Linked DNA regions of Drosophila melanogaster. The protein of the gene in region 1 purifies or fractionates together with the protein of each later gene. This does not show direct contact. Each region holds a gene or a part of one and is shown in the gene's direction. Other genes may lie near its edges.

Evidence for each region.
Region 2: the proteins of Rpt5 (region 1) and CG9588 purify together in Drosophila melanogaster (affinity purification with western blotting; 2 studies listed by BioGRID, with this or other methods). This does not show direct contact.

Annotation. Positions count from the first base shown.
Region 1 is NT_033777.3:23,750,661-23,755,123, forward strand, and holds Rpt5 (regulatory particle triple-A ATPase 5), read left to right. Parts: upstream 1-2,215; 5' UTR 2,216-2,353; coding exon 2,354-2,563; intron 2,564-2,627; coding exon 2,628-3,048; intron 3,049-3,105; coding exon 3,106-3,761; 3' UTR 3,762-3,963; downstream 3,964-4,463. Other genes in the region: RanBP3 (Ran binding protein 3), read right to left, coding at 582-1,915, 2,044-2,059; Hrd3 (HMG-coA reductase degradation 3), read right to left, coding at 4,146-4,463.
Region 2 is NT_033777.3:13,672,826-13,680,065, reverse strand, and holds CG9588 (uncharacterized protein), read left to right. Parts: upstream 1-3,384; 5' UTR 3,385-3,536; coding exon 3,537-3,638; intron 3,639-3,938; coding exon 3,939-4,265; intron 4,266-4,329; coding exon 4,330-4,563; 3' UTR 4,564-4,974; downstream 4,975-7,240. Other genes in the region: omd (oocyte maintenance defects), read left to right, coding at 54-335; Lkb1 kinase, read right to left, coding at 1,069-1,316, 1,374-1,531, 1,593-1,787, 1,854-2,956. UniProt on the Drosophila melanogaster protein: Acts as a chaperone during the assembly of the 26S proteasome, specifically of the base subcomplex of the PA700/19S regulatory complex (RC).

The DNA of each region.
Region 1 (4,463 bases):
TACAGCCAGCGTCCTCCACATCGGCAAATCGCTCCAAGCCAATGCTGAGGGCATAGGATGGGTTGATATTCGATATCCACTCCTGCTGCTACTTCCACTTAGATTGTACTTTTCGTCGTAACGCTATTTTTTTCTACCAATACATAACTGAATACTGAGTGATGATCCGCTGGAATCCACACCAGATGCCAGTCAGTGGAGCTATGACCAGGACTAGTGCAAGCGCTGAACTTGTAAAAATTATTTCCTAAGCGAAAAGTAGTACATAGGGTTTGTATAGTGATTAAATTAAAACTTTTAATTAGAGCGTGTACGATCGATATCGATATCTTAATTTCGGTTTTCATTTTTAACAAAAAATTATAAACACAAAGCGTAATGGATAAATGTCTTTTGTCGACGCTGCTCACGGGTTTACAAATCAGCACTTCATTTATTTTATTTTTAATAATAATAATTATTAATAAATTATTATAATTAATTTATAATAATTCACGGCGCGCTTTATTAATTAGTGTTTGTTGTGAGTGTTTTATTTCTCCATGTATGAATCGTATAAAAAGAACAAGAGCGAGCGGCGGTTAATTCTGATCGGTTGACTCCTTGGCCTCGGCCTCAGCATCCTCGTCGCCCTCCTCAACGGGCGGCACAGGGACATCGGCGCTGCTATCGGGCTGGACGATCACCTTCTTGGGACTCGGGCCGTAGCTGTCTGCCTCTGCTGAAATGGCACCAGACGGTCCGGGAGCAGCATCCTCATCCTCGTCGTCGTGAGTCGTCGACTCCGGTTGCAAGCTAGCCGCTGCCTCAGAGGCGACGCCGTTTTTCGCTTCCTCTACGGAACACTCCTCGGGATGTGAGACCTTGCGCTTGGCAATCCGTTCGCTGAGCGCCTTGTGTAGCTGGGCAATGTCCGCCGGTCGGCCCATGGCCAGGAAGATCTTGACAACGCCAGAGTTGTCGATGGCCGTTAGTCGTAGGGACTTTTGGCTGGCTCGCTCCGCCACCATGGCGGCCCAGACTTTGGTGTTGAGAAGCAGGCGCAGATTGCCAGAAGTGCGGAACACCACGCGCGAGTCGCCCCTTAAGTCCTTGGCGTCGTTTAAGCGCAGACTGCCGCGACCACGCTCCTCCCAGTTGCTGTTAAGAAAGGCGAATAGCTTGCAGCTCACGTCGATAATGTTGATCTCGTCCTCCTCGCCGGTGAAGGTCTCGACCTCCTCGTATTTGCGTTTCTGAGCGCGGCTCTCCTCATACTCCCGGGCCACATCCGTCAGGCTCTTGGCCTCGGCGGACTCCTTGTTGTTGCTGCTGCTGCTGCAAATGGATGAGGAGGCAGCGGCCTCGCTGGTCTCTGTGGTCTGGGCAGCGTTCTGAATGACGCTTGAGAAGAGCAATGGCGCCGAGGACGACGTAGCAGCGGTGGAGGAGGAGGCAGCCTCCTGGGCTGATACCGAGCTGGCTGCCGTATCTGCATCCGGCTCAGCGGTGACCTGTTCAGCATTGGGGGCCACCACACGTTCATGCACATTCTGGCCGAAGACGAACCCGCTGGACTGAACATTTGGCATGTTGTTCTTGGCTGCTGCAAACATGCTGGAGCGCTCAATGCCATTGCTACGCAGCTTGGTCAGCGGATCCGGCCGCTCGTCGACATCGTCGTCCTCCTTGTCGCCAGTGGACTCGGCTGCCGCAGATCCGGTGGCCACCACCTCCTCGTCATCGTCGTCGTCCTTGGACTCGCGCAGAAACGGATTATTCAGCAGGGCGCTGTCTTCACCTGCACTTGGGGATGTGGAACTATTGTTGGAGCCGCTGCTGTTTGCCAAGACTGCTGGGCGCAGGACAGCACCGCCCAGGCGAGAAGCCTTCAAGGTGAAGCCACCTCGGAAACAGTTAGTTTCGACTGACGCTTCTGGAAACAAGGGGGAAAAAACAAGACTCGTTTGTCAGTTTGTTGCGAACTCTTCAAGGGCACAAGATTCGCGATATTTGGCAACTTTAAGTTATAGCAAGCATTACAGCTTGTTTTGCTACGCTTACCATTATTTTCAGACATTGCAAACTAGTCTACTTGCAATTTTAAAATATAAATTGCCAAATCTTTTACAGAATAGAGCGTTCTGTGTAAAGCCTGCCGTATTGTTATCGCTGTGTTATCGCTGTCACTATCGATAAGCGCCGGCGATGGCGCTCTGTTGTCAACACTGACTTTTTCAGTGTTGCTTACTTGCCGCTGAAAAACAAGAAATTTACAAGTCATCGACAGAGTGTTTGCCCAAAAAGATCGGCAATAATAGCATTTTAACAAAGAATTACATTCAGCAACGGCTAATCAACAATCGTATTAGACATGGCTCAGACTCTGGAGGATAAGTCAATCTGGGAGGACGGGGAGGAGTCCCTGGGCGAGGAGGTGATGCGTATGTCCACCGATGAAATTGTGAGCAGGACTCGCCTGATGGACAACGAGATCAAGATCATGAAGAGCGAAGTGATACGCATAACGCACGAGATTCAGGCGCAAAATGAGAAGATCAAGGACAACACCGAAAAGATCAAGGTAGGGATGACAATGAAACGCCACCCTGCCAAATAGCCTCATTTGTTAAGTACTTCCCCATTAGGTCAACAAGACACTGCCCTACCTGGTGTCCAATGTAATAGAGCTGCTGGATGTGGATCCACAGGAGGAGGAGGACGACGGCTCCGTCACCGTTCTGGACAACCAGCGAAAGGGCAAGTGCGCCGTCATCAAAACATCCACTCGACAGGCGTATTTCCTGCCCGTCATCGGCCTGGTTGATGCCGAGAAACTGAAGCCAGGTGATCTGGTCGGAGTCAACAAAGACTCCTATTTGATCCTGGAAACCCTGCCGGCAGAGTATGATGCCCGCGTAAAAGCCATGGAAGTGGACGAGCGACCTACAGAGCAGTACTCCGACATTGGAGGTTTGGACAAGCAGATACAGGAGCTCATCGAGGCAGTGGTGCTGCCCATGACGCACAAGGAGAAGTTCAAAAACCTTGGCATTCACCCACCCAAAGGTGGGTATCTCACTCGAACAAATGTCACACAACCATATTAATCCTTGCCATTTACAGGTGTCCTTTTGTACGGCCCCCCTGGAACTGGCAAAACATTGCTGGCCCGTGCCTGCGCCGCTCAGACAAAGTCCACCTTCCTCAAGCTGGCAGGTCCCCAGTTGGTGCAAATGTTCATCGGTGATGGTGCCAAGCTGGTGCGCGATGCCTTCGCCTTGGCCAAGGAGAAGGCGCCTGCCATTATCTTCATTGACGAGTTGGACGCCATTGGCACCAAGCGTTTCGATTCGGAGAAGGCCGGTGACCGTGAGGTCCAGCGAACTATGTTGGAGCTTCTTAATCAGCTCGATGGCTTCAGTTCCACTGCAGATATTAAGGTGATTGCGGCCACCAATCGCGTAGACATTCTGGATCCTGCTCTGCTGCGCTCTGGTCGTCTGGATCGTAAGATCGAGTTCCCACATCCCAACGAGGAAGCCCGTGCCCGTATTATGCAGATTCACTCGCGTAAAATGAACGTTAGCAATGATGTGAATTTCGAGGAATTGTCCCGATCCACGGATGACTTCAACGGCGCCCAGTGCAAAGCCGTCTGTGTGGAAGCTGGTATGATCGCACTGCGTCGCTCCGCCAATTCGGTTACGCACGAAGACTTCATGGACGCCATCATGGAAGTGCAGGCGAAGAAGAAGGCTAATCTTAACTACTACGCTTAGACTAAAAATTTGCAGTTTAACTTCACATTGTCAGCTCCCATTAAAATAAACCATGGAAATGTAAAATTTTTCAGTTTCGATCTGAGTTGCCCCTTGAAGATCGCCTTTAAAATAACATCGCAACGGCTCTTAAAAGTAACTAGAATGGGAGACGTACTGAAATCAATACCCAACCTTTTTAAAATAAACAAAAATATATATCAAATGTCGAGCGATTCATTGGTTTATCAGTACAACATTTACATTCTGAGTACGATATTTTTTAAATATCTAAAAAGGTCGGTTTTAGAATTAATAAAAAATATTACATCGGGCGAAATTAGATGATAAATATTTACACGCACACTAATTAACCTAGAGGGATGATTTACCAAGTTACTAAGACTAACCAGTGGGATCGAGTGTGTTAGCGCCATCCGGCGCCGCAGATGTCGTGCCACTTCCCCCTTGTGACGCTGCATCGACAAGGGACGTGGCAGTGGTTGATGAGGTTTCCGTAGAGGAGGACGCGGCCACAGCATCGTGAGATGAAACTGCGGCGGCAGGTGGTGTGACGCCCACACCTTCGACCACTGCGGCTACAGGTGCTGCTTCCGCTCCAACCGGCGCCAAGTTAACTGGCGCAGCAGCAATGTCATCTGCAGCTGGCTGCTGTGCCGGCTGATCCGGCTGCTGAAATGGACGCCTCATGTACATGATGAT
Region 2 (7,240 bases), about 10 Mb from region 1:
CCATTATTTGCCCAAACTGTGTAGTAGCACCAACTAATGTATGACATTTCCAGATTGCCCTGCTGCTGCGCGAGTGCATCTGGAACTATCTTAAAGATCACGTGCCCTCGCCGGCGCTGTTTCACGTGGACAACAACGGGCTGCACTGGCGCAACACGAATACACAGCTGGCCAAGGTGCCGCCGCAATATGTGGACCCGTTGCGCCACCTAATGCAGCGTAAGCTGTCCACCCTGGGCCCCCACTACCATCAGATGTTCATCATGGGCGAGCTGATGGAGGGCGACTCAGAGCCAGATCCGACGGCCCGGCTGCAGATCGTTGAAATAGATTAAGCAAACGTAGTTAGCTAGCCTAATGTTGTAGTGTGAGCATGAGCGTGTGTGCATGGAATAATGGAGCGTCTGCGAGTGTTGAGTGTGGAATTTGGAATGTGCGAAATGTGCGAACTAAATGCAGTGTTTGTATTTTGATATTCAATGGGTTCTTTTATTTTCGTTTCATTGGTTTGTAAAAATTAAAATCTCAACCTAGGCCTTGCAAATACTGTCCAGCAGTTATTGTACCGACGGCGCCTGAAAATCGCATCATTCGTCGTGTGTAGTTTAGAATATAACGAAGCCAACAAACAATTTCACTTGAACATATTTCTTTATGTGTGCGACGCACCAATGGGCACCGTCTCCTCCGGCAATCCTCGGCTGCCTTCAGTACATCATAATATATTAACGACTAATTTACGCATTCATTTGTTTCATATAATACACAGTATTGTCACATGGATATATAGCTTTCGTGTCGCTCCCATAGCTCCCCAATTCCACAGCCAACTCCGCTGATGCGGGCTGTTGCTGCTGTTGATGCGACCGCTGCTGCTCCTGCTGCTCGGGCGGTACGAGGTTGCGCCTGAATTTCCTACATGATTCTATGGTTACAAATACTTGGCGAATGTAGGACAACAGAATAAAAACGGGAAAACAAAACCAAAAAGTTGCTCACAATTTGTTAACAAAGTTATTCCTTTCGATAAATCTTAGCATCTATGTTTAGTGGAGGCATCTAAGGCGCCTACGAAGTTCGGCAGTGGCTCAGCTTGCGCACGGAGATGCAGGACGTCAGCTTCTTGGCGCGCCTCTTCAGTGCCGATCCCTTCTTCTTGACGGGCGCCTCCTCTCTGCTACCGTTGCCCAGCGAATTGCTGGCGGCTGCGGCACTTGTGGAGGGCGGTTCGTAGGTGTGGCAGGCGGCTAGGGCTGCCGCCGACTGTTTGGCCCGAATTTCGGAGGCAGCAGCTGCCGCTTGGCGGGCGAGCTCCTCTGTAAAGGTAACCATGAAAGTAGTTCACTCGGCATTAGATTGATGTTGGTACGTACGATTTACGTCGTGTTCTGTAAAGTAGACATCCTCCTCCTGGGTGCCGTAGTGGTAAGCTTCCAAGTAAGGTATCACCGTGGAGTTGCGGTATTTGTCACCCTTCAGGGGGGGAATGGGTATCGGTGGGCCGGTCTTAACCGGTGCGGATCGGAACCAACTAAAAGCAGATTATAACAATCAGTTATCATGAAGTGCAATCAAGGAATATTCCTACTTACGTGTCGTGGCGTATTTCCTGCAGAGAGAGGCGTTTACTGGGATCAGCCTGAAGCATGCCGAGAATCAGGTTGGCAAAGTCCGCGTCCATTTCGTATAGCCACGCGGGCGCCTCCCACTGACCTCGCCCGATGTTCTCCAGCAGTCGGTAGATATTGTCGCCCTCGAAGGGATACTGTCCAGTGGCCAAATTGTAGCTGCAAATCCGTTAGATTAGTACAGTATATACATTTAATACATGATATTATACAAGGAAGGCTTACAGAGTCACTCCGCTGGACCAGATGTCCACCTTGAAGCCGGCGAACGTCTCGTGTCCGTTGGCAATCTCCGGTGGCTGGAAGGCCGGAGAACCTTGGCCCGTCGTGCATGTGTCGTCAGGTGCGAACAGATCCAGTTGCTCCGCCACACCGAAGTCGGATATCTTCAGCGTTTGATCCAGGGAGAGCAGCAGGTTGCCTGGCTTGATATCCTTGTGGATGACCCGGCAGCTGTGCAAGTACTCCAGGCCGTCGACTAGCTGTTTGAAGTAACCGTGCGCCTGAAACAGCGGCATCCGCTTGTCTGGCTGATAGTCAATCATCTCCTGCAGCCCGCCGACACAGTACTCCATGACCAAGTACATTTTCTGCTTCTCCTCGTTGTACAAAACATCGACCAGCTCCACGACATGTCGATGCTTCAGCTGCTTCAGCAAGGCGATCTCGCGCGTTACGTTCTGTTCGCCGTTGGGAATCCGGCGCAACTTCCGCTTAGTCAGGATCTTGACGGCCAGGCGGCACAGGTTCTCCGAGTTCATGGCCTCCTTCACCTTGCCGTACGATCCCTCGCCGAGAACATCGCCCATTATGTACTTGCCCACCATCTTAATGCTCTTCTTTTTCTGCTGATAGATGATGTCCTGGCTGTCGACGCGATTGAAGAACATATTACCCATGTCCAGCGTCACGCGATCGAGCGTCTCGATCTCGTCGTCGTCCAGCCACGTGACTTGCGGATGTGGCTGGTCATCGAGCAGCAGTTCATCCGGATTGTAGAAGCCAACGCCCGCGCCCGCATCATCCGCTTGGGCGGTGTCTTCTTTGAGCTCCACAAAAGCGTCGTCGTCCAGATCGGAGGCGACGTCATAGTGAAAGTTCTTATTGGCCAGCAGTACGGTCATCTCGTCCTCAACAGGATCCGGCTCCTCCTCCTCCACCTTGTGCTGGGCCCCTCCGCCCGTGGGATGATGTAGATGATGATGGTGTGCTGCCTTGACCTGTGCCTCCATGGTGGTCACAGTCATCTGGCCTGTTGCTCCTGCCCCTCCTGCTTCTGCTCCACCGGCTGCTTTACCTCCGACTGGCCGAGAGCTAGAACATTGCATAAACCTCCGCGGAGCCCCAATGATCACATATCGCAGGTGGCAGCCCCACTCCGGCGGATGGGAGTGGACGGTGTGGTCCCTGTGTTGCCTGTGGCTGCAAAACGTTTGGTTAGTTCATGGCTACACCTAATCCTCACCAGGCACACACGCGCTTTTATCGCTCACCTCTCGAAATACCTTTATTTTTGTAATCAATTCGCACACACTCGAATTGATTGCCGTGCGATTTTTCGAGGTCCCTCGTCGCCCGTCGTCTATTCTGCGATGTCCGCTGGAAAGGCGTTCCCCCCTTTCGTTTCACCGTCGTGCGATCTGTTTCTCATAGAAATTTGTGAATTCCTGTGTTTACTCTCGCCGTTCAATTTGTTCTTTTCCCCTTCCGAAAAATTGTTTAACAATTAGTTTTTGGCCAAAGTAAGTTCGCCGCAATACGGTCACACTGGTCGCGGGCAACCAGGGCTGCACGAGCACTGGTTGTTGTTGCTACTGTCGCTGCTGAAAAAAAAAAACATTAACGAAAAATAATAAATTTGTATTTTTCGGGACGAACGCTGGAATAACTCGAATCGAAGTGGAAGTCATGGCCGCTGGGACGACGACCAAGGAGCGCCTGGAGCGTCTGATTAACGCTAAAAAGCAGCTGGAGGCGCAGATCAACAGAAACGGACAGATCCTGGCCGCCGTAAGTAAATTCGCTTGCTCATCCGGGGATACCCTGCATCCGGGATAGGGTATGCACACTGTGGCAAGCTGTTGGTGACGCACCACCGTGGATATTCATGATCGCAGGTTCTTCAACTTGGACGGACCGCCAAGCCAAATGTTGATATATTCAATACCCTACTGTTGGTTAGGGTATGTCCACTTGGGCAAGCATTACAGCATTATCCTATGCTTTGGTGTAGGGTATATACACAATTGTATTTTGAGTACATTCTTTTGTTTATGCTGTATAGCATTGATAATGATATCTTCCTTCCAGAACGACAATGTGGGCATGAGTGGACCACTGGTGGACGCCGAGGGTTTTCCGCGCAACGACATCGACGTTTACCAGGTGCGCCTGGCGCGACAGACGATCATCTGCCTGCAGAACGACCACAAGGAGCTGATGAACCAGATCCAGACGCTGCTCAACCAATATCACAGCGAGATTGCCACCACAGATCCGGAGCTGGTGAACCGCGCCTCCGCTTTGGACCTGGACAGCGACCGTTCACCCGGTGGCGCTAATATCACGGATCTTGCTCCTGCACGCGCCATCGTGGTGGTCAATCTGGTCAGTCCCGATTCGCCCGCCGAAAGAGCTGTGAGTGAATGTAGTAAACAAGCGAAGATCACAGCATTGAGATGGGCCATCTTTACCATTTAAGGGTCTCTGTGCCGGCGATGCCATCCTCCGCTTTGGCTCCATCAATAGCGGCAACTTCAAGGGAGATCTCGCCCAGATTGGCGAGCTGGTGCGCAACATGCAGAGCCAGAATGTCCAGCTGAAAGTGAAGCGCGGCGAGCAGCAGTTGGACCTCATCCTGGTGCCGAAAACGTGGAGTGGACGCGGTCTCCTGGGCTGCAACATCGTCCTGCCGCCCGAGGCGATGGATCACTGATGTAGCTTTGTGTTTAAGCTTTTTTCGAGTTGCCTGTGCACTCCTGCCCTGCACTTTAGTTATCAGCCCATCTCTGCCAGGCCGACGAACATGGTTGCTCCAAATTGTGAAAATTGATTTTTGGACGCGATTTCAGGGCAATTTCAGCTGGAGTCATCTCGCTGACTGACAGCCGGGTCAGTGGGCCAAGGAGCAGCAGTGGAGTGACCCAAGGTGCACAGGTGACAGGCAAAAGGATGATATTGTGATTCGGTGGATTCTGTCGACATGACCGATTTTTTTTGCATTTAATTTTCATTCAATATGAAATGATGCGTAACAAAATGATGAGGCGGTTTTACTAACAAATAAGTTTTTATAGCGCTTTTACTGGTAAATAAAGAAGGATATATAATTAAAAATATAAAAAACAAATTTGGAAATTATTATCTAAAAGCATAAACGTTTTTGCAGAAGACTATGGTTTATTCTTCTTATGAACATTTCAATTTAACAGAGAAACAAATTCTAAAGAAATGTTCGATTTTAAAAGTTCTGTTTTTGAACATCCAGGTACTAGCCAAGTTTTCAACCAATGCTCAAGCGCTTAGTCAGGGCACAATGGCTTTAAAACTGTACTCCTTCTTAAGATAAAATTATTTATATATCTGACGTGAGCAATTTAATTGAAAGAGTGTATTGTTAATCAATTGGAATAATAGTTTTTATGAGATGGCAAAGTCATTTTATTTGTTTCGTTTTTTATATCAGGTTTTTTTTAAATTAAATGCAACAGTCTGCAGCCCAGACTCGAACCAAATTCCGTAACAGAATTCGCTTAACCGGTTAGGACACATGTTAGCTTAACAGTGAGAGAGATTTTCCGCGAAGAGAGCGAATTTGGCAGGACGAGCTTTCGCCCGAAAATCTATTTAAGCAACACGCAGCGTAAAAGTTTAAAACTTTTTTCACCCGCGCCGCAGCATCCGATTGCCACGATAAAAAAAAGGATAATTACAAATGCAGTGAAATTGTTGAAGCAAAGCGACTGGCGAATAACAATTCCAATTGCTTGCCAAAATATACAAAAATTATCCCCGCACCAGTTTGCTTGTTTTGTGCGCCGGAGCAAAGCTGCCGCAGCCGTCGAATCCGAATCGAGAGCATTACGGATGCGATTTCGAATCCGAATCCGAGTGGCGACAGGACGAAAGTGCGGCCCAATCGCCGTCAAATTACGCTAGTGAAAAAATCGTGGGGCGCCGCTGAATTTCTGTGCAATTAACGTGAGCGATTGAAAGGATCTGCCTGCTGCCAACAACGCGACCGATGAAAATTGCGAGCCGTTCGCGTTCGTCCTGTGCGGCGGAAAGGATGTGTATGTGTGCGGGCTTTATATAATGAAACACTTCCAATGCGTGGACCCAGCCAGCTCTCGTCCTTCTTTTCATCTTTTTTTTCGCGAACTGGAGTGGCAGGATAGTGTCACTGTCATTGCCAGTGCATGGGAATTGTGAGGGAATCTGCTTGGTGGTTGGGGCTACGAAAGCTGCGCGAAATAGCACAACAAACAGGCAGCAGCGGGGAAACTAACAAAAAAGTTAACTAAGGGCGGGCATCCTTTTCCTGTGTGTGTGTGTGTGTGTGGTGTGTGTGTCTGTGCGTCGCTGTGGGGCAAAGGAAAACCAACCCCCACAATCCGCACCGAAGGACCAAACATTTCGGCTGCTACTCTCGATGAATTAAAAAAAGCCTGTGTCTGCGCTGCGCTTGTGTGCGTGCGTACACTTCAACGCGCTTCGAGCCCCACACACACACACACACACACACACAAACACAGGGACACATTCACACACACACACACTTGAATAATTCAGAGACACTGCAATGCTGCCTCATTGTTCATCAATAAATTGGCGTTAGATGGCCACACACACTTACACTCGAAGAGAACTTCAAGGAGGAGCTTTCATTTTCAGTTTTCGGCGTCTCATTATCCCGCGTGCTAACTGAATTATTCAACAATTACAGCTGAGATTTCGCAGCCTCACACGTTGCCAAAAAGTGCCAGTTGTGCCAGTGTGTCCACAAGTCCTTACGCTCATTGGGCGAAGGACACATGCAAATGAAAAATTCATTTGCATGTTTGTGTGGTGGGCCAGTGTGTGTGTGTGTGTGCGTATGTGTGTGTGTTAGCTGAGATGAAAAGTACACACAGCGCCGGTCATCATGGTGGCACAACAATGAAGTTCAAGTTGATCCTTTACGCGTCGAAAAGGATCAGAAGTCCTTCGGCAGTTAAATGTACACATTGAAGAGCCATTTGTGGAGTTTCAATGCTGCAGAACATCATATCCTTGAAATATGTGCCTTAAAGTATGCTATTTTCCACAGAAAACATTTAGTTTCGAAGTTTCTTTGAAAAGGTGCTTAAAAGTATGCTATGACATATGAGAAAGCAAGAAAAAGATATTAATACCACATCTTTTTGTGGGAGTTTCATTGAAAATCCTTAGATATAACATTATTGATCCCTCATATTGCAAAATCACTACCTTTTATAGACAACACTGGGATGATAGGCGAAGCTCCATAGGAGCAACCCAGTGTAGTGGTAGCGTGGTATTGATGATGACAGATTAGTTGCAGTCGTTATTTTTAGCCCGGCCATAAAAAGAAAGACCCTAATTCGAGTCAT